6 linked regions of the Macaca fascicularis genome follow. The protein of the gene in region 6 purifies or fractionates together with the protein of the main gene of each other region. This does not show direct contact. Links are inferred from orthologs where the notes say so. Each region holds a gene or a part of one and is shown on either strand. Other genes may lie near its edges. The genes, in order: BTB/POZ domain-containing protein KCTD5, PLCB3, LPAR2, PHLPP2, PHLPP1 and NHERF2.

Region 1 (3,500 bases), about 680 kb from region 6:
AAGACGCCAGCAGCGAAGTCTGCATTTCCAGGAGCACTGAGCCCTGAGCCACTGTGAGTACAAGTTCAGCTGCAGCATGGCTGCCGCCAGCCTGGCCACGACCCCTCACCTGCTCAAACTTCCAGCCGTCAGACATGGTGGACACCATCTGCGTGAGCTCCTCCTCCTGGCATTGCAGCACGCGGTACACATGCTTCACAGGCACCTGCAAGAACAATGGGCACAAGTAAGGGCGGGCCACCCATGTCCCGCTGCTGCCTGTGGCCCCAGCCCAGGTGACCCAGGGAGGCTGAGGTTCACTCTCCAGTTCTCAGCGCAGGGCACGAGGCCCAAAGCAACCCTGAGCACATCCACAAAATCAAAACACGCGGCCCGAACAGCTGCTGTTTTCTGCTTCCTCGTTCGCCTCCAAAAATATTTCTATTTCTAAGTTCCAAAATAAAATGAGTCATGTTCCTGAAATCCCAAGAGCACCTGTGGCTCCACATGACGACACGAGAGCGTCCATTTCTGCTCCGCACGCAGGAACCATGCAGCCCTGAATTCACTGGTCAGGAAAGGCTCTGGCAGGCAGGGCCCTGAGAGCCAGTGGCAGACAAAGCTCACTCCCGGCTACCAGAAGAGGCTCCTGAACTTCCACAGCAGCCTGGACTCAGGCCTCCCCAAGGCTGCGCTGCTTCCCAAAACTCCATCCACCTCCTAATCCCCCACCTGCCTGGCACACTTGCTATGCCCCTCTAGGCAGCTGTGGTCCTGGAAGTGATGGTGAGCCACCAGGGCCACCCGCCTGCATGGAGCTGCTCCCCAGTGGGCAGGGCGGCCCCATGTCCCAGACACAGTCATTACAGAGGACTCCGGCTGCAGACAGAGCTGGATGGAAACACAGCAGTGAGAAAGGGTTCAGGGATCCTTGGTCCTTGACCTTAAGATGGTGACTCATGCCAGGGATGTATGAGTGACAAAGGCACACAGTGGCCTCGAGGTCACACAACCGAGTGCCTTCTTCTGCAAGACAGTAAGATGCTACTGTGTGTCACAGCAAGACTGGACTGCAAGGACTCTCCCACCTGCACCATTTCTCACCCACCTGCGTCATACGGGCAGGTAGACTGAGGCAGGGAGCACCCACACAGCCCGGTCACACAACAGGGAAAAAAGCAGGCTGGACAAGGTGACCCAGGGTGTGGGACACAGCTCCTGCCCCACAGATAAGGAGCCCCTCCAGATCCCTCAGTGGTGCCAAGGGAACTCCAGCAGGAGGGGGAACTGGGCATGTCGCTAGGTGGCCAGTGGCCCTGAGCGGCCAGGCTAGGAGTCTCTGCATAGGGCCCAGGGCTCTAAGTGGACCGAGACTTCTGATGGCAGCTACAGCCACAGTGTGGCCCACACCCACTCCTGGTGCCTTCCCAAGGATGCTAAGCTGGGGCCGGGGCAGGCTCAGCTCTCAGGGACAAGACTGATGCCCAAGGCCCAGCAGTGGCCCCTCCACAGGAGGTACTGGGCACAGCCCACCAACAACCTGGGCTCCCCGGGCTGCAGAAGGGCTGCGCTAGGTGTGAGAGGTCTGTCTGTGGCGACTCGCCCCTCTTCCCAATAAAACCAAGGTCCTTCTGACGCCTGTGCAGATCCACATGACCCCTCTGCTGTCTCCCTCCAGTCATGCTAGCTGCAGGCCCTTGGCACCCTCTGCTCCCTACAAGATGCCATCCACCTCAGGGTCTCCCCGACCAGCCCTCATGGGGCCCTCCTTCCCTCCACGCGTCTCCCATGCCCAACTGCCTTACAACCATCCTTTGGGGGCTCCCAGAGGCTGGGCCGGGCAGGCTGAACGGATCCTTCAAGGGACCCTGGGGCGAGGCTGTAGACGGAGCTGGCGGGCACTGGGGTGGTGACAGAGGACAAGGGTCTCAGGGCAGGGGAGCCCCAGACTGCAGGACTCATGTGGGAGGCAGCCGATCGGGGGAGTAAGAGGGAGCCATTCCTTCACACCAGCCATAAAAGTTTCTAGCCTTAGTTATTTCTCTTACCTGTGATGTTTTGCTGTCTCGTTCTCTAATTTTGTCCTTTACAAGTTTTATTAACGAGGTGATATTGTAAAATTCTGCTTCCTCCAATACTCCTGGAATAAAGAAAAATAAATTGTCTATACTAAACCAAACGAAACCAAAGAATCCCCTGCAATGAGGACCCATGGCTCGGCCCAGCGTGAGCTGCTCAGGCCCCATCCTAACAGGCTTCCTGCAGACACGTTAGCCCTGCGGGGTTCCAGGATTATGGGTGGAGGGGCTGTGGCGAGAGGGCCGACGTGTGGACTAAATACCTCCAGCTCAGGTCACCCTAGGCAACTTCGAGCAACCTCCAGTGGCCCGCCAGGTATGGAGTCGCTGGTTACATGCAGCTCAGTGCATGCCTAAACTGAGGCCACGGCATGCAAGGGGTGGGATCTGGCATTTTCCCTCCAAGCCTGGAGGCCAAGGCTTCCTGTTGGGAACCTGCTCACGGCCACGCCACTGGGTGGGGTGCTGTGTGGGGCTCAGGCCTGCAGCCTTGTGCATATGTCTCAGTCACCTGGCACCTCAGTTTACCCCATTCAAAGGGAAGACTGTGGCTGGCTGAGAGGGTCACTTCCAGCTCTTCCCAAAGTCTGCCATCCTAAATGTGCCGCATTAGGGACTGCACACCTCCCTTAAGAGCCTTAAGAGCAGATTCCACAGGTCTAGCCTCAGGGCTTCCTCATGGGTGGTCTCCAGAGGAACCCACACATGGGACATGGCAGCTCAGGACAACACCCCGCCACCTACATAGCACAGGGCCACACAGGATAGAGATGAGAGCCTCAGAGTCACAGGCTTCCCAGCCCTGCACGGGTCCCGCACAGCCCCCTTGTCCAGCACCGAGGGCGAGTGGCTGCGTCGGAGGCGGGTTAGAGGCGGGCCAGCGAGCCCAGGCGGTTTGTGTCTAGCGCCTGTTTCTGAGCCAATCCCACTAGGGGCAGACTGAGATAAAGTGAAGCCTGGACTCAAACGGCTCCATGGCAGAACACAAGGGGCTGCCCAGGTGACCAGAGAGAGCGCATATGAAAGACATTGCCTGCCAAAAAGACAGGAGTGGGCAGCGTGGGTCACAGTCTCAGAGCGGGAGCAGGGCTGGGCCACAGCTCCCGTCACCCCGCGCCCCGCGTGAACTCGGAGGAGGCAGGCAGATGCCGAGGCCCAGAGACCCAGAGCAAAAACGGAGTGAGACGCTGCCCAGTACAGACCGATGCACAGACACGGACGCCGGGGAGCAGGGCCACGCCTGCACGCAGGTGCCCAGAAACCCTCAGTCTTCATGGCAAGGCCTCGGGCTGTTCTGAGCCAAGCCAGCACTACAGCACACAGGCAGGCCAGCCTGGGCCCACGCGTGTGGGTGCCGTCCCTGCACCACCACCACTCAGAATGGAACACGGCAGCTGGCAGCAGCAGGCACAGTCCAGGTGATGGCACAGAGATACCACCCTT
Region 2 (3,500 bases), on a different chromosome or scaffold from region 6:
AAGAGGTGATGTGATCTGATATGATATGTTCTTAGAAGGATGATTCCAGGTGCTCTGTAGAGACTGGATTCAGGCCAGGAGCAGTGACTCACGCCTGTAATCCCAGCACTTTGAGAGGCTGAGGTGTGTGGATCACCTGAGGTCAGGAGTTTGAGACCAGCCTGGCCAACATGGTGAAACCCTGTCTCTACTAAAAATACCAAAATTAACCAGGCATAGTGGTGGGCACCTGTAATCCCAGCTACTAGGGAGGCTGAGGCAGGAGAATCGCTTGAACCAAGGAGGCGGAGGTTGCAGTGAGCCAAGGTCCTGCCACTGCACTCCAGCCTGGGTGACCGAGTGAGATTCGGTCTCAGAAAAAAAACAAAGACAGAGAGATTGGATTGGAGGCAGGGAGGCCTGAGCCTTCCACACAGGAAGTGGTGTGAGCTGTGCCAGGGCCGAGATGGGTGGAGGGAGGGAGGAGAGGGGCGATTGTTGAGTCAGTGGGGAGCTATAGTGAGCCTCGGGGATGACTCCCCCAGCTCACGCTGGTGGGATGGTCAGGTGGTGGGTATCCATCTGAGAGATGGAGAGCCCTCTGCAAATCCAGCATGGCCTGGTTCCGGGTGGGGCCGGGATGGTGAGGAGCTGGGCTGGTGGGCGGCCTTGGTGACAGAGCCTTGCCCCTAGCTGGGCAGCTGGCCGGGACCTCGTCGGTGGAGATGTACCGCCAGGTGCTGCTGTGGGGCTGCCGCTGTGTGGAGCTGGATGTGTGGAAAGGACGGCCGCCCGAGGAGGAACCCTTCATCACCCATGGCTTCACCATGACCACGGAGGTGCCTCTGCGCGACGTGCTGGAGGCCATTGCCGAGACTGCCTTCAAGACCTCGCCCTACCCCGTCATCCTCTCCTTCGAGAACCACGTGGACTCGTGAGTGAGCCCCTGGCATGAAACCCCATGGACCCAGGGACAGCCCTCCCGCCTCAGCGCTGTTGGACTGCTCAGGGACCTCCAACCCTGTGAACCGCCACTGACCTGTCCTGTAGACCCCAGTTTCCCCTAGGGACCTCTGATCTCTGACCTCGGCTCCGCAGGGCAAAGCAGCAGGCAAAGATGGCTGAGTACTGCCGCTCCATCTTTGGAGATGCGCTACTCATCGAGCCTCTGGACAAGTACCCGGTACGGGGGCTCAGAGCGAGGGTGGGGGTATGCGGGCCACGGTGCTGTGGACCTGGTCCAGGGCCCTGACTCGTCCATGCCTGCCCAGCTGGCCCCAGGTGTTCCCCTGCCCAGCCCCCAGGACCTGATGGGCCGTATCCTGGTGAAGAACAAGAAGCGGCACAGACCCAGCACAGGTGGCCCAGACAGCGCCGGGCGCAAGCGGCCGCTGGAGCAGAGCAATTCGGCCCTGAGCGAGAGCTCCGCTGCCACTGAGCCCTCCTCCCCGCAGCTTGGTAGGCCCCAGCCTGGCCCGCCACCCTGACCTGACCCCAGCCTCTGGCCTCATGCTGTCGGCGCTGTGACACTTCATCCCAGACCCCCAGCCCACCCTCCCGCCTCGCTGTGCACCTGTTCCCACAACTGGCCTCTCTCCTCACCACCTGTTGGCTGGTGTGGGGCCTCTGACCCCTGACCTCAGGTGCATGCCTCACCGAGCTGCATTGAGTCCACCTGCCCAGTTAGTTATCATTTCAGCTCACCTCTGACCTCTTACCCCTGACGATTCACCTCACTATGCCCCCTCCTTAGACATGGCTGTGACTTACCCGTGACCTGTAACCCCTCTGTGTCATCTCTTACCCCGCTATTAAGGCTGGGGTACCCTACTTCCTGACTTCTCACCCTACTGAACCACCCTATCTGCCTCCCTGCTGAATATCACCCCAGACCTTTACCTTTGACCTATGACCCCTCTCAACCACTACTGGATTTAATACTGTCTGACCCCTGACCTCTTGGCCTCTCCCCAAGCCACACTTCTCTGAGAGTACCCCTTGAATTCCCCATTGAGTCACCTGCACACACTGGGAAAAACCCCTCCACGCTTCCTAAGCAGCTGTGTGGTCCTGACCCCTGACCTTGTGGCCCTGTCCTCTGCAGGGTCACCCAGCTCTGACAGCTGCCCAGGCCTGAGCAACGGGGAGGAGGGGGCCCTTGAGAAGCCCAGCCTGGAGCCTCGGAAGTCTTTGGGTGAGGAGGGCCTGAACCGGGGCCCCTATGCTCTTGGACCTGCTGACCGTGAGGATGAGGAGGAAGATGAGGAAGAGGAGGAGCAGACAGACCCCAAAAAGCCGACCACAGATGAGGTCAGGCCCAGAGGGCGGGCAGGTCGGGGAGGTAGCATCTATTTACCTCCCAAGCAGTTTATTACCTCCACTGGGGGCTGAGGGTCTGACCACCACCAAGACCGACATCACCCTGCGCCCTGGGGCTCAGTGTGGGTGTGAGTGAAGGTGGGAGGAGGGGTCTTCAGTCATCAGGAATGGAAACAAGCATACAGTTCTCCTGGTGATGTGGCCTGGGAGGTGTGAGTTAGGGCACAGAACTGGCAGAGGGCAGCCCTGGGCAGGGAGGTGGGGCTGGCAGAGCTCAGGAAGGGGGACAGCATGTGCAAAGGTCCTAGGGCAGAGCCAGGGGGTGCAGGAGCGGGGAGCGTTGAGTAGCTGTGAGGAGTGGTATAGAAAAAACCAGTCTGGGCCGGGCGCGGTGGCTCAAGCCTGTAATCCCAGCACTTTGGGAGGCCGAGACGGGCGGATCACGAGGTCAGGAGATCCAGACCATCCTGGCTAACACGGTGAAACCCCGTCTCTACTAAAAAATACAAAAAACTAGCCGGGCGAGGTGGCGGGCGTCTGTAGTCCCAGCTACTTGGGAGGCTGAGGCAGGAGAATGGCGTGAACCCGGGAGGCGGAGCTTGTAGTGAGCTGAGATCTGGCCACTGCACTCCAGCCTGGGCGACGGAGCGAGACTCCGTCTCCAAAAAAATCTGAGCCGGGCATGGTGGCTCACACCTGTAATCCCAGCTACTCGGCAGGCGGAGGTACGAGAATCCCTTGAACCTGGGAGGTGGAGCTTGCAGTGAGCTGAGATCGCGCCGTTGCTACGATTTTGTAGCCTGGGCTACAAAAGGAGACTCTGTCTCAAAAAAAAAAAAAAAAAAAAAAAAAAGACATTGCTATAAAGACAATTACTGGGGCAATTAGTGAAATTTAAAGATGAACTACATATTAGATAATATGTCAATGTTTTGTTTCCTGAATTTAATTATTGTATTGGAGTTATATAAGAGAATGTCCATATATGCTGAAGTATTTATGGGTAAAGGGTCATGATGTCTGTAATTTACTCCCAAATGATTCAGTAAAAGTAATAATTTTAACACCTATATGTGCTGGGCGAGGTGGCTCACACCTGTAATCCCAGCACTTTGGGAGGCCGAGGTGGGCGAGTCACCTGAGGTCAGGAGGTTCAAGACCAGCCTGGCCAACATGGTGAAACCCCCTCTCTACTAAAATTA
Region 3 (4,054 bases), on a different chromosome or scaffold from region 6:
ACCCCATCTCTACCAAAAATACAAAAATTAGCCAGGCGTAGTGGCATGCACCTGTAGTCCCAGCTACTCAGGAGGCTGAAGCAGGAGAATCACTTGAACCTGGGAGGCAGAGGTTGCAGTGAGCCGAGATTGCGCCACTGCACTCCAGCCTGGGTGACAGAGCGAGACTCAGTCTCAAAATAATAATAATAATAATAATAATAATAATTTAAAAATACATATAGATTAAAAAATAATTTAAAGGCTTTTTGTTAAACCAGGCTTAGCACTGCTAAAAACTTTTTTTTTTTTGAGATGGAGTTTCAAAAACCTCCACCTCACCTGGCTAATTTTGTATTTTTAGTAGAGACGGGATTTCTCCATGTTGGTCAAGCTGGTTGCCAACTCCCAACCTCAGTTGATCCGCCCGCCTCAGCCTCCCAAAGTGCTGGGATTACAGGCGTGAGCCACTGCACCCGGCCAGCACTGCTAAAAACTCTCAAGGGCTTCCCACGAAACTCAAAATATGACTCCTGTCTGTGCCCCTTAAGGCCTTGCCGAACTCTCCTCCTCACAAGCCCGCTTTCCTCTTTAGAGGCTCTGGCCTGGTACTGCCTTTAGGTTTTTACTTTGTTTCCTCTGCCTGGAACTCTCTCTGTTCCTATCCTCAGCATTCAGGCCTCTGCTCATATATGACCTCCCTGGAGAACATTCCCCACCTAAGTCTTCCCCCTATCACCCTCTATCAGGTAGCTTGTTTTGTTAATTGCTTCGAAGCATCTTGTGGGAAACAGGGGGAAGCAGGGTGCCTGTTGCCCCCTGAGGGCCCCACTCACCCAGGATGATGACGACAGTCTTGACCAGGCTGAGCGTGGTCTCTCGGTAGCGGGGGTGGCAACTGACGTGCTCTGCCATGCGCTGCACTCGCCGCCGCACGTAGAAGAAAATGCGGGTGTAGACAGCCACCATGAGAAGAAAGACAAGCAGGCTCGACAGAGCCCAGACGGCCAAATAGGAGCGGCTGAGCAGGGGTGCCATGCGCGAGCAGCGGTCCAGGGCACAGAGGCAGTGCCAGGAGTGGGCGGGCAGCAGCCCCAGGCCCAGGGCAGCCACCCACACGCCCACAATGAGCATGACCACGCGGCCACGGGGCAGGCGGCTGTGCAGCTGCACGGCCATCACACTGCGGTGCCGCTCCACAGCGATGGCCAGCAGTGTGGCCACCGACGCAGTGAGGCTTGTGTCCAGCAAGCCCTGCCGCAGGAACCAGCCCTCAAGTGAAAGTCGGGCTGTGCGGGGACCAGTGTGGAACATGAGGAAGAGGTAGGCCACGCCCGCGAAGAGGTCAGCTGCGGCCAGGTTGCCTAGCAGGTAGTAGATGGGCTGGTGGAAGCGGCGGTTGGAGGCGATGGCTGCTATGACCAGGAGATTGGTGAGCAGCACCAGTACGCTGACGGTCAGCCCCAGTGCCACCACGACCACATCCTTGGGCCGCCAGTGAGAGCTGAGCTCCTTGCCACTGTTGTTATAGAAGAAGCCAATGGTCTCGTTGTAGTAGCAATGGCCCATGGTGACCATCTGGGGACACAAGAGATCAGTGCATGTGGCGCTTCTTGGAAGGACACAGGGAGGGGCGGCAGCTACAGAGGACAAGGAAGGACAAGGGTCTTGAATTCAGATGCCTCAGAGCAAAGTGGCAGTGGTGAGGACCACGGTAGCCTGGAAAAAGCAAGCTCCATGGGGCTGGGGTGGGGGTGGAGGAGCTGCTGTTTCTTACCTACTAATAAGACCTGTGTCAAGACATAACCCAAGTCAACAGGGTTTTGAACCAGAAGAAGTGAAACAAAACCCATGTATGGTCGAATCCCAGCCCACCTGCCGCCAATGTGTGACCCGGTTTGGGCTGTAGGGAGAGGCAAGACAAAGGGGTGTGAGCTGCGGGACGAGATGAGGGAGGGTCACTTAGGTGCTGGAGTCAGTGTGGGGAGCAGAGACCCGGGAGCATGTGCCCACAAGAGTGAGGTCACTTGCTAGGACCCTGCGAGGGAGCGGTGCCGAGGCGTGGAGGTGATCGGAGTGGACAGAGAGTCGGTCCCAGAAGTTGGTCTGCCGGATTTGGGCGCGAGTGCTTCCCAAGCGGGCGGGGCAATAGGCTGTTCCGGGTGGGACGGAGGACACTGGCGGTCTCCGGGACAAAGACAGCGGTTGGGGAAGGGACAGCTGGCCGGGCCTCCAGGCGTCTCCAGACTGGGGAAGGGGTAGGGGGTTCAGGGATCAGGGGGCGGCGTCCTGGCCCCGCAGGCACGTGCCGCGCCCTTCCCCCCGGCCCAGGCCCGCACCCGCCCGCCTCCCGTCCGTGCCGGCCTCACCTGGGCCTCCCGTCACGCCGCAGATAAGGCGGGCTCGCGGGGGTTCGGGGCGGGCTCGAGGCCCATGGCCCGGCGACCGCGGCGGGAGCGGTGGAGCGTCCGGGTGCGCCCTGCGTGGGCTGCTGAGAGGGCGCGGGAGGCGGGGTCTCCCCGGCGCCCCGCCCCTGCCACCTGGGGGAGTCCCGCCCTGCCACCTGGGGGAGCCCCGCCTCCGCGGCCGCGTCGGGGGCGGTGTCGCCCGGAACCGCAGCCCCCCTATTTCCTCCCCGCCTCGCGGCCCCTCGGTCGCCTCTATTTCCGGCGCGGGACCCCCACCCCGGCCCCTGCACACCTCACGCGCCCGCAGTTTCGAGCCTGCGGGGCTGAGTCACCCGGCGACCCCAAAATTCCCGCCGCGACTCCGCGCAGCCCGGGCGGAGCTCCAGGTGGTCTTGGGTCCGCGCCCCTTCTCCGGACCCCCAACCCTCCCAGCCCCACCCCGCTCTCTTCTTCGTGTCCAATGGGCCGCCGAGTTACAAGCCACTCCCTGATCCGACTTGGCTCCCACCGCCCGGACCCCCGCCCATCCTCGGCTTTCCCAGCTCGCAGCTACAGCGCGCCGCGGCCTCCTGTGCGAGGCCCACGCCTGCGGCCCCAGCTGATCATCGGGCGCAAACTAGGGTTTTGCAATCCCGCCCCCGTACCCCTCACCCTGGGACAGCGCTGCCCCCTGCAAAGCCCGGCCCTGCCCTGCCCTGTGGCTTCCTCCCTCCGCCTCCCTGCGGCGGCCCCGGGCTCCCACGGTCCGGAGCACACAGCCCCATTGTCCCGGTTATCTGCACTTTGTTATACTGTATTTGATTATGCAGGACCAGATCGGGGACGCAGAGCTCCGGGAGGGCCGGGCTGGCGTGACTCAGCCGGGTGCTGCGGCCCAGCCCCAACTGCCTTTAGGTAGATGCTGCAGGGTGTTTGATGATGCAAGAAGGAGGCCTTGAGGCCGGGCGCAGTGGCTCACACCTGTAATCCCAGCATTTTGGGAGGCCGATGCGGGCGGATCACGAGATCAGGAGATCGAAACCATCCTGGCCAACATGGTGAAATCCCGTCTCTACTAAAAATACAAAAAAATTAGCTGGGCGTGGTGGCGTGCGCCTGTAGTCCCAGCTACTCGGGAGGCTGAGGCAAGAGAATCGCTTGAACGCGGGAGGCAGAGGTTGCAGTGAGCCGAGATTGCACCACTGTACTCCAGCCTGGGCGACAGAGAAAGACTCTGTCTCAAAAAAAAAAAAAAGAGGTCTTGATTCCCGTGATCGGTAAAACGGGGGAAAGGAGTGCTGCCCGTGCTGGCCTCTCCCCTAGCAGAGATGCACCCAAGGGCATACAGGACAGAGTTTATTAGAGGCCATCAGACCCCAGGCACCACCAGGATGTGGAGTCTGCACTGCCCACCTCCTCCAGGAAGGTCACTTCGAGTCCACCAAGGGGGCAGGCAGGTGTGGGGGAGTGACCACAACCAAAGTAGCAAAAGCACCCCTGTCCCAGGGGTGGGAGACTAGGGTGAACCCCCAGGATCTCATAACCTGTATTGACCCTGAGTATTGACCCTGAGTGACCTCTGAGCCTGAGTGGCCCTGATGCTTGGCAGTGACCTGTGTCCAGTTGGGGGATTCCAGGACATTGCCCCCGAAAGGGTTTTAGGCCTCCCATAGGCCATGTATTAAATA
Region 4 (3,500 bases), about 66 Mb from region 6:
TGGAGTGCGATGGCGTGATCTTGGTTCACTGCAACCTCCGCCTCCCGGGTTCAAGTGATTCTCCTGCCTCAGCCACCCAAGTTGCTGGGATTAGAGGCACCCCCACCATGCCCAGCTAATTTTTTGTATTTTTAGTAGGGATGGGGTTTTACCATGTTGGCCAGGCTTGAACTCCTACCCTCAGATGATCTGCCCACCTCGGCCTCCCAAAATGCTGGGATTACAGGTGTCAGCCACCGTGCCCAGCTCCCTTTCTCTGTTTCCTAAACAATTTAAGAATTTCACTACTTGCCTCATTTTGCAAGATACTATATAAATAACTACAGTTGATGAATAACTCAAGGTACAGCTAAGTCAGACAATCCAGATTGGCAAATACATATACAAACTAATAAAGAGAAGGAAAAAAGAGGCCATATCCTGAACAAGTTAAACACTTATATCCAAACACCTAATAAGGTCAGGTGGGCACTAAGTAGGACAAAGGAACAGGAAGATGAACACAACCTTTTGAGTGAGACAGTAGCAAAACAGTCACAACAGTACCATGTCCAGAGTATAAGGATAGAACCATACTTCCTCCTATTGCTATGCCTGCTCTATCTCTAGTGCTAAGGTTCACATAAAATTAATTAACAGACAAGGAAATAATCTGTGTATGTATATATACATATACACACACACATATATACACACACACACACATATACCGAAGAGTTCAAAGGTAAATTATACAAAATGACCTCTGAGTTCTTTTCTGTACAAGTATATGATTTAATTTATGCAGGTCTGTTCTCACTTTCCTGTATTTCTATAAATCTCTCAAGTCTCCAGTGTGGTTAAAAAAACAAAAACAAAAACTCTCTGTTACTGTCTTTACAAGGTCATCAATGGTTTACTGTAAATTACAGAACACCCAATAGGTGTCTTTTTACCAGCTTCAATTAGGAAAAGGTTATGACTAGAAAATAAAACCCTCATAAAAGGTTCTTAGTAATGAAACCTTTAACATTTTAATTGTAATACAATGGATATCAAGAAGAAACCTAATGACTCAACAGAAAAATGTCATTTATGGAAATCTACAAACTACTAACATACATATAAAAAGATGTTCAACCTCACTGCTCTGTAAATAAATGTTGATTAAAACAATGAAATACTTGTTTCAATCTACTAGACTGATGATAAAGAAAAAGAAATGCTAAAATCCAACACTGACAAAGATATGAGAAAATGGGAATTCTCCTACAATGTTGGAGGGGTTGGGCACAGTGGCTTACACCTGTAATCCCAACACTTTAGGAGGCCAAGGCAGGAGGATTACTTGAGCCAGGGAGTTCAAGACCAGCTTGGGCAACACAGTGAGACTCCATCTCTACAAAAAATTTAAAAAATAAAAAATATACATTGATGGGAAGGTGAGCAAAAACAACCTCTGTCCAAGGCAATTTGATAGTCTCTATCACATGGTACAACTACATGATCCTGAATCTCTCTGCTACTGAATGATAACTAAAGTCTTACTATACCTTTGAAAATACACATTTCTATACTGTTCAAAACACCTAATGTTACGGGCCAGGCATGGCAGCTCACACCTGTAATCCCAGCACTTTGGGAGGCTGAGGTGGGTGGACTGCTCGAGTCCAGGAATTTGAGACCAGCCTGCACAACATGGTGAAACCCTGTCTCTACTAAAAATAGAAAAAAAATTAGCCAGGCCTAGTGGTGCGCACCTGAAGTCCCAACTACTTGGAAGGCTGAGGTGGGAGAATCGCCTGAGAACAGGAGGTCAAGACTGCAGTGGGCTGAGATCGTGCCACTGTATTCTAGCCTGAGTGACAAAGTGAGACCTTGTCTCAAAACAACGACAACAAAATTTTAAAAACCCTAATGTCTTAAACAAATCTTCATAAAGAGAAGACATAAAGGTCCAACAGAGTCAATTTAAAGGAAGCTGCGGTAAAGAATAACCTTACCTTAAATCCACATGCTTGATATGGTTCATCCTATTCAGCACCCCTAAGTTCAGGACTTCCAGGCAATTTCCTGCCATAACCACTTTATCTAACATAGTGAGTTTCTCATAAACCTCAGGAATTTGACTAAAGTTGTTGAACGAAATTCCCAAAGAGGAAAGCTGTTGTAGATTTCCCAGTTCTTCAGGTAAAGTAGTCAGAAAGTTGCCATCAAGACAGAGGGTTTGAAGACTACAGGAAGAAAACAAAACAAGTCTACTTTATGGAAGGTTTCACTGGAATGCATAGAATCAGAGTTACGGATTCTGATTTATGTCACTAATTATCAATCCAAAAATAGTAGTGTCCTAACTCTCCATCTATACAGACTTAATAGATGACTTACACATAACTTACACAAATGGTCACCCCAACATTAAAAGAGTTAAGACCTCTGCTGTTGAAGCTGAGGGATCAGTCCCTGCTACAGGCAGGTAGATCTATGATGTCAAAAACTGCTGCTGACTAGAATCCTAGTAAGTACATGATTTATTTCACTGCAAGAGCTCACAGTACTACCTTCATTCCAAACCCCAGGCAAGTTCCTTATCCTGCAAGGGAAAAGATGAATCTAGTAAAAGTTACTTACTTTAGCAGATTGCCAATTTGACTTGGTAGGTCACGAAATCCATTACAGGAAAGGTTGAGCTCAGTCAGGGTAGAGATCTCACATAATAATATAGGAAACAACCCAAGTTTATTATGGGACAAGTTCAGGCCCTTCAGCTGAGAAAATCTAAAGAGCAAAGGCAAAAATGGATACTGCATTTCAATACATCTATTACTATATCTTTACGAGGGACATCAATGGCCTTTGATAATCCATTTTAAATGTCTATAATAGAATTTATTCCAAAAATACTTATTGAGCACTCGCTACACATCAAACATTGAGTGGGGACAGAGGACACCAAGATGACTAATGCACAGTCCATGTGATGAAGGAAACCAGGTCTAGCATTACAGCTCTCTTTTCTCTTTAAAAAGGTAGACAATCTTGAAGAACAGCTCATGCTGGTATAATTCTTTTGTATTTCATCATACTTGATATGCTTGAAATTTTTCATTAAATTTCTACATGTAATACACAAAAGCCTTGCAAGAATTAATCAACTCATAGAGCAACAGCTAACAAATATGTAGATCAAATCCCATTTTTAATAAGCAACTTCTTTTTTCATACTGAAATTATGTTGGCTCAAATGTCACATAAAATGAATAAACCAGTTAGAGCTTGAAAATAATGAATGTGACAGCATTTTACCATTATGTGACCTGATACACAAAATAGTAACTTTTAGAGCTTCTATTTTGTTCATGGAAGTAGAAGTATCTGTATTGTCTTACCCAGAGATGGCATTGTTATAAAATGGATCTCTTGGGTTTCTTCTTGATATCCATTGTATTATAATTAAGATGTTAAAGGTTTCATTAGTAAGAACTTTTTATGAGAGACTCTGGTAATTCCACTAGGGAGTA
Region 5 (3,500 bases), on a different chromosome or scaffold from region 6:
TGTGAGGCATTTTTCTTAAAGCCTGTAGCCTAAGGGTCTCCATACAGTTTCCGGACATACAAAGTTTATCCACAGCAGTCAATTTCTCCAATACTTCTGGAATGTCAGTAAATTCATTGAAAGAAAGACCCAGATAACTAAGCTGCTTCATGTTCTCCAACTCAGCAGGAAGGGTTTGGAGAAAGTTTCCATCCAACAAAAATGTCTGTAAGCTATTAGAGAAAACATAAGAATTACAAAGAGAATGTATAAATTTTACATCTTTATTATCAACATACAAGTTCCATAGTGTAGATCGTATTACCAGAAAATGTATTACTCTTTGCAAAATGCCTAAGGGCAGGGCCTGAGGCAATAACGGACCAAAGAGAAATAATCAGAGATAAGCATCTTAATCTTTTATTGAAAATGAAAATTATGACTAGCTTTCCCAATCTGAATAGGCTTAAATGGGAGCAACATGAGCTAACTGTGATATAAATTGATTCAGATATCCTTTGGGCTTTCCTTATTATTTCTCAAAATTAATTTCTAAGTCTTTGAATTCAATATAACTCAGAAAAATGAGAACATAACCCACATTCCATGTTTAGACATACTCATTTGCAGGGATCTTCAGTTCTAAACAAGAATATTTAATTTTTTACAAGATCGTAAAGAATACAAATCTAACACATGAACTCCATACAGACTATACAGTCCCTGATCTGTTGATTTGGGGCCAAGACTTACATGACCAACATAACAAGTTAACTAATCTCATGTGCTACACCCCCAATGCAGCTTCCCTGGGGTCTCTGGATATACCCGCCAGTGGGGTTTGAGGTACACACTTGTGCATCACTCCAACGGCTGCTGGGACCGATCGCAGGGCATTGCAGGACACATTCAGCTCTGCCAGGGTTGGAATACTGCAGACTGCTAGTGGGAAGTCCCCTAAATGATTATTGGAAAGATTAAGACTCTTCAACTTGGTGAACCTATTAAAATAAAGCAAAACCAAAAGGGAAAAAAGAGACAAATGTCACTAACATCATAATTTTAGCATAGCCTAAGAGATAATCTAGCCCAACTCCCAAATTCAACTGAAGAGGAAATGGGGGCCCCAGAGAGGTTAAGGAGCAGCAGCGCTGGAATGCACATCTGCTGACTCTAAGGCCAGTGCTCTACCTAAAATGTAAACATTCTATCTAAAAACAAACTTTTCCCTCTAAAATAAGGTTGAATATTTCAGGAAGTGAATTCTGCTGGAGTAAGTTTTTTAGCAGTATCTCAATTAGCTTAATTAACACAGTGTAAATGGCCCCAGTGAAGGAGGAAAGGGACCAGTCAGAGCTGGAGTTAGTCCTTCTGGAATCTGTGCTGTTCCAGACAAGTCAAAAACTTCTGTTTCATGTTTCTCAAACCCAAAAGTGAAATAATAAAAACTTATCAAAACAATACTCTCTCTAAGGTAACCAGGACTTTGCAGTTCCAAATTTAACAACCAATTATCAGCTGGGCACGGTGGCTCAGGCCTGTAATCCTAGCACTTTGGGAGGCCGAGATGAGTGGATCACTTGAGACCAGGAGTTCGGGACCAGCCTAGACAACATGGTGAAACCCTGTCTCTACCAAAAACACAAAAAATTAGCTGGGCATGGTGGTGCATGCCTGTAATCTCAGCTACTCGAGAGGCTGAGACACAAGAGAATCTCTGGGAGGTGGAGGTTGCAGTGAGCTGAGACTGCTCTCCTGGAATATATAGCCTGGTGACACAGTGAGACTCTATCTCAAAAAAGAACCAATTATCATTCGTCGATCTCAGTACAGTAATTGACTGATGCGGCTGACCACCCACCCTTCTTCTTAGCTCTCTTAAGCCCTCTTCTCCTGTATTAACTTCCTTTTCTTCATCTTTTCTTCCCCAACTCAAACTGAAGTAATCTTCATAGATAGTTTTTTTTTTTTTTATCAGTTTCATGCTCTCTCTACACTGTTTTCCTTGGAAATGTTTTGACTCCTATGTGAACAATTCTCTCAGTCCTGTCACATGCTGGCTCCTCTCCTGAGCTACCCCACATTTCCAGCCCAAAACTGAACTTACCATCTTTATTCCAAACTGGCACTTCTTTTTGTTCTATTTTTGTTAATAGCCCTTTCATTTTCACAGTTGCCCAAGCAACTTAAGCAATTAAAGAAGCTATCTTTCATTTTTTACTTCTCTGTGCACTCTTACATTTGGCCTATCAACGACCTCTACACCATCTCTAAATGAGATAAGAATCAGATCAGTGACTGCGTTATGCTAATTCCTTTAAAAACTAGATTACCCACATCTAATACTAGACAGTATGCACTCTGCCTAGAAGAGACACACACACTGCAAAAATAAACGCAATTCAACCCAATCAGCATATGTTAAGCTGTATTCTAAATAGTTAAATAAAAGTTGATTCTAAAGGGAAAGTTGACAATGTACCTATTTGACAGGTTGAGTGTTACCTTGATTTTTAAATAATACCTGTTTACTTGGATGGCTGAGTATAATAGAATAGTATTTTAAAAAAAAAAATCACTTAGGAAAAAATTATTGCTAAATCTGAATAATCGTTCTTAAACTGTTTTATATTAGAGCCATCAGTCCTTCTTAAAAGAATGCTTATCCTCAGCCGGGTGCAGTGGCTCATGCCTGTAATCCCAGCACTTTGGGAGGCCAAGGTGGGCAGATCACTTGAGGTCAGGAGTTCAAGACCAGCCTGGCCAACATGGTGAAACTTCGTCTCTACTAAAAATACAAAAAAAATTAGCCAGCCATGTTGGCAGGCACCTGTACTTCCAGCTATGAAGGAGGCTGAGGCAGAAGAATTGCTTGAACCCAGGAGACGGAGGTTGTGGTGAGCCGAGATCATACCTCTGCACTCCAGCCTGGGCGACAGAGCGAGACTCTATCTCAAAAAAAAAAAAAAAACAAAAAACAAAAAACAAACAGCCTACCCTCTATTCTGATTATTTATAATCACCGCAAAAACACAAGCTAGAATTACAGTCTCTTATTCCTAGTCCAGTGATTCTAAAAGCATGCTTGGGGGACCCCAGAAGAGGCACCCGAGACCCTTTCAGAAGATCCATATGGTCAAACTATTTTTATAACAATACTAAGATGTTACTTGCTTTGTGCCACTTTCTTCCCCACACCTGTCACTCGTATTTCAGTAGAGTTCCAGACAGTACCTGCTTTTGTAATAGCACACCTGATGGAACACAGAAAGAGATATGAGAATCCAGCCAGATATTAAAAGAATCGCCAAAATAGAAAACAATGACACTCTGGCCGGGTGCGGTGGCTCACACCTGTAATCCCAGCACTTTGGGAGGTTGAGGCAGGTGGATCACCTGAGGTCAGGAGTTTGAGACCAGCCTAGCCAACATGGTGAAACCCTGTCTCTACTAAAAATACAAAAATTAGCTGAGCATGGTGGCGCGCGCCTGCAGTCCCAACTACTCAGGAGACTGAGGCA
Region 6 (3,500 bases):
GCGCGCCATGGCAGCAGTACAGCGGCAGTGAGTGGCAGGCGTCCGGCCGGGGTGGCCTGAACTCTCTGGCTGACCCAGGCTGCCACCCCACTTATCTACCTCCCTCTGCGGCCCCGGCTCCCCGGGGATGGGTGGAGACGCAGGGGCTGAGTCACTCTGGGGAGCAGGGTGATGACTGAGCCCACTCCCCTTAGAAGGCTCCAGCCCGGCGCCCCCCACCCAGCTAGGTTTCCGTCCCAAGAAAGGAAGGAAGGAAGCTGCTGGAAGGCCCTGCCCGCCCCAGGACCCAGGGCTGGGGGGACAGGGAGGAGTCCCAGCCCCAGAACACAGGACTGTCATGCTGAGGTTCCAGAGGAACAAGAGCCATAGGAGCCCGGAAGCCCCCACAGGCACCGCGCCCTAACCACACAGCCGCCTCCCGCAGATCTGTCACCCCTCACCTGCTCTTAGCCCCCAAGGCCCTCCAGACGGAGGTGGAGACTGGGCTAGGGGCAGGGGGCAGAGGGCTCAGGGTCTGCCACCACCTCTAGGGCCTGGCACCGCTGGCCACCCGTCTCTGTTTGGGGGCCGTCCCCTGTCATCACTACTAGGATCAGCTGCACCGCAGCTGCGGCCACCCCCAGCCTGCTGTGGCCCAGGGCTGAGTCATCACTAACTAGGCGTTCATGACCCCCAAAAGGAGTGGCTGACCACATCAGTGTCCTCCCCTGCCCACCTCCCCTATCCCCAGCCAGGACAGAGGACACTGAGAACCACCCTTAGCTCCCAGGGGGCACCCAGAGTTGGGCCCTCTCCATCCTGCACCAAAGCCAAGCTACATACCCTCCCAGGGCTCTGCCTCTCTGCCACCACCGCCCCCACTGGAGCCATCCCCGCAAGGTAGGCTTTGCCCTCCTGGGCTCCCTGAGCATCTCAGGCACACCCTGAACCCAGGCTGAGCAGGGCAGGATCTGAACCTGCTCTGCGGAGGTCCAGTGAGCCCCAATTCTTCCTGTCCACGCTGGGAGCTCAGGTGAACAAACCTCAGGGCTCGAGCCAGGCGCGGTGGCTCACGCTTGTCACTCCAGCACTTTGGGAGGCTGAGGCAGGCAGATCACTTGAGCCCAAGAGTTCCAGACCAGCCTGGCCAACACGGTGAAACCCCGTCTCTACTAAAAACACAAAAATTAGCCAGGTATGGTGGTATACGCCTGTAATCCCAGCTACTCGGGAGGCTGAGGCAGGAGAATGGTGTGGACCCAGGAGGTGGAGCTTACAGTGAGCTGAGATCCGGCCACTGCACCCCAGTCTGGGCTACAGAGCGAGACTCTGTCTCAAAAAAAAAAAAAAAAAAAAAAGAAAGAAAAGAAAAAGAAACCTCAGGTCTCGATGCCAGAAGACAGAAGGGGAGACCCTGCTCCTTGGGTGTCCCCTGACCTCCTGGAGCCCCTGTCCCCAGCCAGACTCATGCACAAAGGGACCTGCCACTCAGGCCACCCTTTGTTCCTCTAAAAATATACCCAGAGGAAGCTCCTCCTAGGGCTTCCTGCAGCCCCCAGAGCCTGAAATAGCAGACGGGGGAAGGTCCCACCCAAGGCAAGGTGCCTCGGCCACCGCACCCTCCAGATAAAGTCCGAGGGCCAGATTTTTCCACAGGAAGGTGAACCATGCATTTGTGTCCAAATCAATGGACAAACGCCTGAGGTAGAGGCGGAGCTTCCTCCTGGGGGAGGCAGGGTGCCTGGGAAAGAGGGAGGCCCCAACCCTCAACTTGGAGATAGGGGCCTGGGACCAGCCTGCTCCCCTGCAAGGCCAGCCCCCCAACCAGCCCTGGGCTGGGCACCTTGGCCCTGAGCACGACCATGGCCTGCCCTCAAGCCCCAGGAACAAAACGGGTCCCACAGGTCCCATGGCCAGGCCTGTGCCCCCTCCCCACAGGGAATGCCGTCTCCCTGCCAAGACATGCCCCCGCCGGGCTCAGCTCCCAGGCACAGCCAGCTCCAGGAGTGATACTTGGGAAAGGGAGAAAGTGAATATATAGATCCCCTGCACCCTCAGAAACTCGAGATCCCACACCCCTGCCTCAGGCACGGTTCTCACAGTGGGGTCTGGCCAACCCCTGGACTCAAATCCCCTGAAGGGATTTATTTCTTTTCTTTTCTTTTCTTTTCTTTTCTTTTCTTTTGAGACAGTCTCGCTCTGTCCCCTAGGCTGGAGTGCAGTGGCAGGATCTTGGCTCACTGAAACTGCTGCCTGCCGAATTCAAGCAATTCTCCTGCCTCAGCCTCCCGAGTAGCTGGGACTACAGGCGCCCGCCGCCAAGCCCAGCTGATTTTTGTAGTTTAAGTAGAGACGGGTTTCACCACATTAGTCAAGCTGGTCTCAAAACTCCTGACCTCAGGTGATCCGCCTGCCTCGACCTCCCAAAGTGCTGGGATTACAGGTGTGAGTCACCGTGCCCGGCCAGGGATGTCTTTGAAAATGAAAAAAAAGGTAGGAGAGCATGGAGACAATGCCATCAGGGCCTCCAGGAAGACAGGACAGACAGTTTCAGGCTGTTCCTCCTAGCCCTCAAGGCCTGCCAGGTGGCCCCTCCCAGCGGCCACCTAGCAGGAGGTGGAGCAGGCGGCCCCTGTACTTTTCTGGGTCTCCTGGCTGGGAGCAGGGGCAGGGGAAGGAGGAAGTGCTACCCAGCAGGAGCCCAGAAGGAACAGCAGACAGGGTCCCAGGGCCCTCCCTTATATTTAGGGGAGGAGTGGGCTCACCTTGGAGCCACCTGGACCCCCCAACTCCACTCCCATGCTCCCAGCCCCACCCATGCCAGGCCTGGCAGAGTGGCCTCCTAGGCTTCCCCAACCTGCAGAGGCGGCCAGCCCTCTCCCAGGCCTTCCCAGCATACAGGCTCCTTGGAGAGAGACAAGGACAGAGCCACGGATGACACCCAACACAGGCACGGAGCTGGGCACACGCAGACCTAGAATGTCTATTCCCAGGGCTCCTCAGCCATGAGGCTGGGGGCTGGGGAGGCGGCAGCTTGTCACAGTAACCCCTCGATAGGGCAAGGGGCTCTGGAGCGTCCTGGAGAAGAGGAACAGGCTAGGCTGCCCTGACCCTACCCAGTTTAAAACACAGGCTGAGGGTAGAAAGAGTGGCCCCCAGTAGCCAACAGGATGGTCCCTGGGGCAGAAAAGGGGCCCCAAAAGGCAGAAGAGACCAAGACTTCTGGAGGTGATCAGAGGCAAAGATGGTCGTCGAAAGCCGAGAGAGCCTCTGGGAGAGGCGAGGGTGGTCCCTGCGGGCCGAGCCCGCCATACCTTCTTGCCAGCGTCGGAGCTGCGGCCACCCATGTGTGCCCAGTCTGGCTTTGGCTCCCAGGGGTCGTGGGCGGGCGGGAGCCCTCGCTGGGCCATCTCCTCAGTGCAGGTCAGCTGCCGCCGGCGGAGCTCCTCATCTGTCTCCTGGTCCACCACCAGCAACCGGGTCTGCCCCTCCACAGCCTTGATCCTCTGCACCACCTGGGG

What was found.
Region 1: the proteins of NHERF2 (region 6) and BTB/POZ domain-containing protein KCTD5 purify together in Homo sapiens (affinity purification with mass spectrometry; 3 studies listed by BioGRID and IntAct, with this or other methods). This does not show direct contact. The link is inferred for Macaca fascicularis from reciprocal best matches to the Homo sapiens genes NHERF2 and KCTD5.
Region 2: the proteins of NHERF2 (region 6) and PLCB3 purify together in Homo sapiens (co-immunoprecipitation; 3 studies listed by BioGRID and IntAct, with this or other methods). This does not show direct contact. The link is inferred for Macaca fascicularis from reciprocal best matches to the Homo sapiens genes NHERF2 and PLCB3.
Region 3: the proteins of NHERF2 (region 6) and LPAR2 purify together in Homo sapiens (affinity purification with western blotting; 3 studies listed by BioGRID and IntAct, with this or other methods). This does not show direct contact. The link is inferred for Macaca fascicularis from reciprocal best matches to the Homo sapiens genes NHERF2 and LPAR2.
Region 4: the proteins of NHERF2 (region 6) and PHLPP2 purify together in Homo sapiens (affinity purification with mass spectrometry; 3 studies listed by BioGRID and IntAct, with this or other methods). This does not show direct contact. The link is inferred for Macaca fascicularis from reciprocal best matches to the Homo sapiens genes NHERF2 and PHLPP2.
Region 5: the proteins of NHERF2 (region 6) and PHLPP1 purify together in Homo sapiens (affinity purification with mass spectrometry; 3 studies listed by BioGRID and IntAct, with this or other methods). This does not show direct contact. The link is inferred for Macaca fascicularis from reciprocal best matches to the Homo sapiens genes NHERF2 and PHLPP1.

Annotation. Positions count from the first base shown.
Region 1 is NC_088394.1:3,481,181-3,484,680, reverse strand, and holds part of BTB/POZ domain-containing protein KCTD5, read right to left. Parts: intron 2,120-3,500; coding exon 2,028-2,119; intron 206-2,027; coding exon 110-205; intron 1-109. UniProt on the Homo sapiens protein: Its interaction with CUL3 suggests that it may act as a substrate adapter in some E3 ligase complex. Does not affect the function of Kv channel Kv2.1/KCNB1, Kv1.2/KCNA2, Kv4.2/KCND2 and Kv3.4/KCNC4.
Region 2 is NC_088388.1:10,136,108-10,139,607, reverse strand, and holds part of PLCB3 (1-phosphatidylinositol 4,5-bisphosphate phosphodiesterase beta-3), read left to right. Parts: intron 1-672; coding exon 673-913; intron 914-1,077; coding exon 1,078-1,162; intron 1,163-1,250; coding exon 1,251-1,437; intron 1,438-2,083; coding exon 2,084-2,289; intron 2,290-3,500. UniProt on the Homo sapiens protein: Catalyzes the production of the second messenger molecules diacylglycerol (DAG) and inositol 1,4,5-trisphosphate (IP3).
Region 3 is NC_088393.1:20,065,929-20,069,982, forward strand, and holds the start of LPAR2 (lysophosphatidic acid receptor 2), read right to left. Parts: upstream 2,801-4,054; 5' UTR 2,680-2,800; intron 2,488-2,679; exon of another isoform or gene 2,349-2,487; intron 2,227-2,348; 5' UTR 1,558-2,226; coding exon 816-1,557; intron 1-815. UniProt on the Homo sapiens protein: Receptor for lysophosphatidic acid (LPA), a mediator of diverse cellular activities. Seems to be coupled to the G(i)/G(o), G(12)/G(13), and G(q) families of heteromeric G proteins. Plays a key role in phospholipase C-beta (PLC-beta) signaling pathway.
Region 4 is NC_088394.1:68,692,614-68,696,113, reverse strand, and holds part of PHLPP2 (PH domain leucine-rich repeat-containing protein phosphatase 2), read right to left. Parts: intron 2,758-3,500; coding exon 2,611-2,757; intron 2,214-2,610; coding exon 1,983-2,213; intron 1-1,982. UniProt on the Homo sapiens protein: Protein phosphatase involved in regulation of Akt and PKC signaling.
Region 5 is NC_088392.1:17,942,079-17,945,578, forward strand, and holds part of PHLPP1 (PH domain leucine-rich repeat-containing protein phosphatase 1), read right to left. Parts: intron 981-3,500; coding exon 834-980; intron 213-833; coding exon 1-212. UniProt on the Homo sapiens protein: Protein phosphatase involved in regulation of Akt and PKC signaling.
Region 6 is NC_088394.1:2,797,847-2,801,346, reverse strand, and holds part of NHERF2 (Na(+)/H(+) exchange regulatory cofactor NHE-RF2), read right to left. Parts: intron 3,495-3,500; coding exon 3,294-3,494; intron 68-3,293; exon of another isoform or gene 1-67.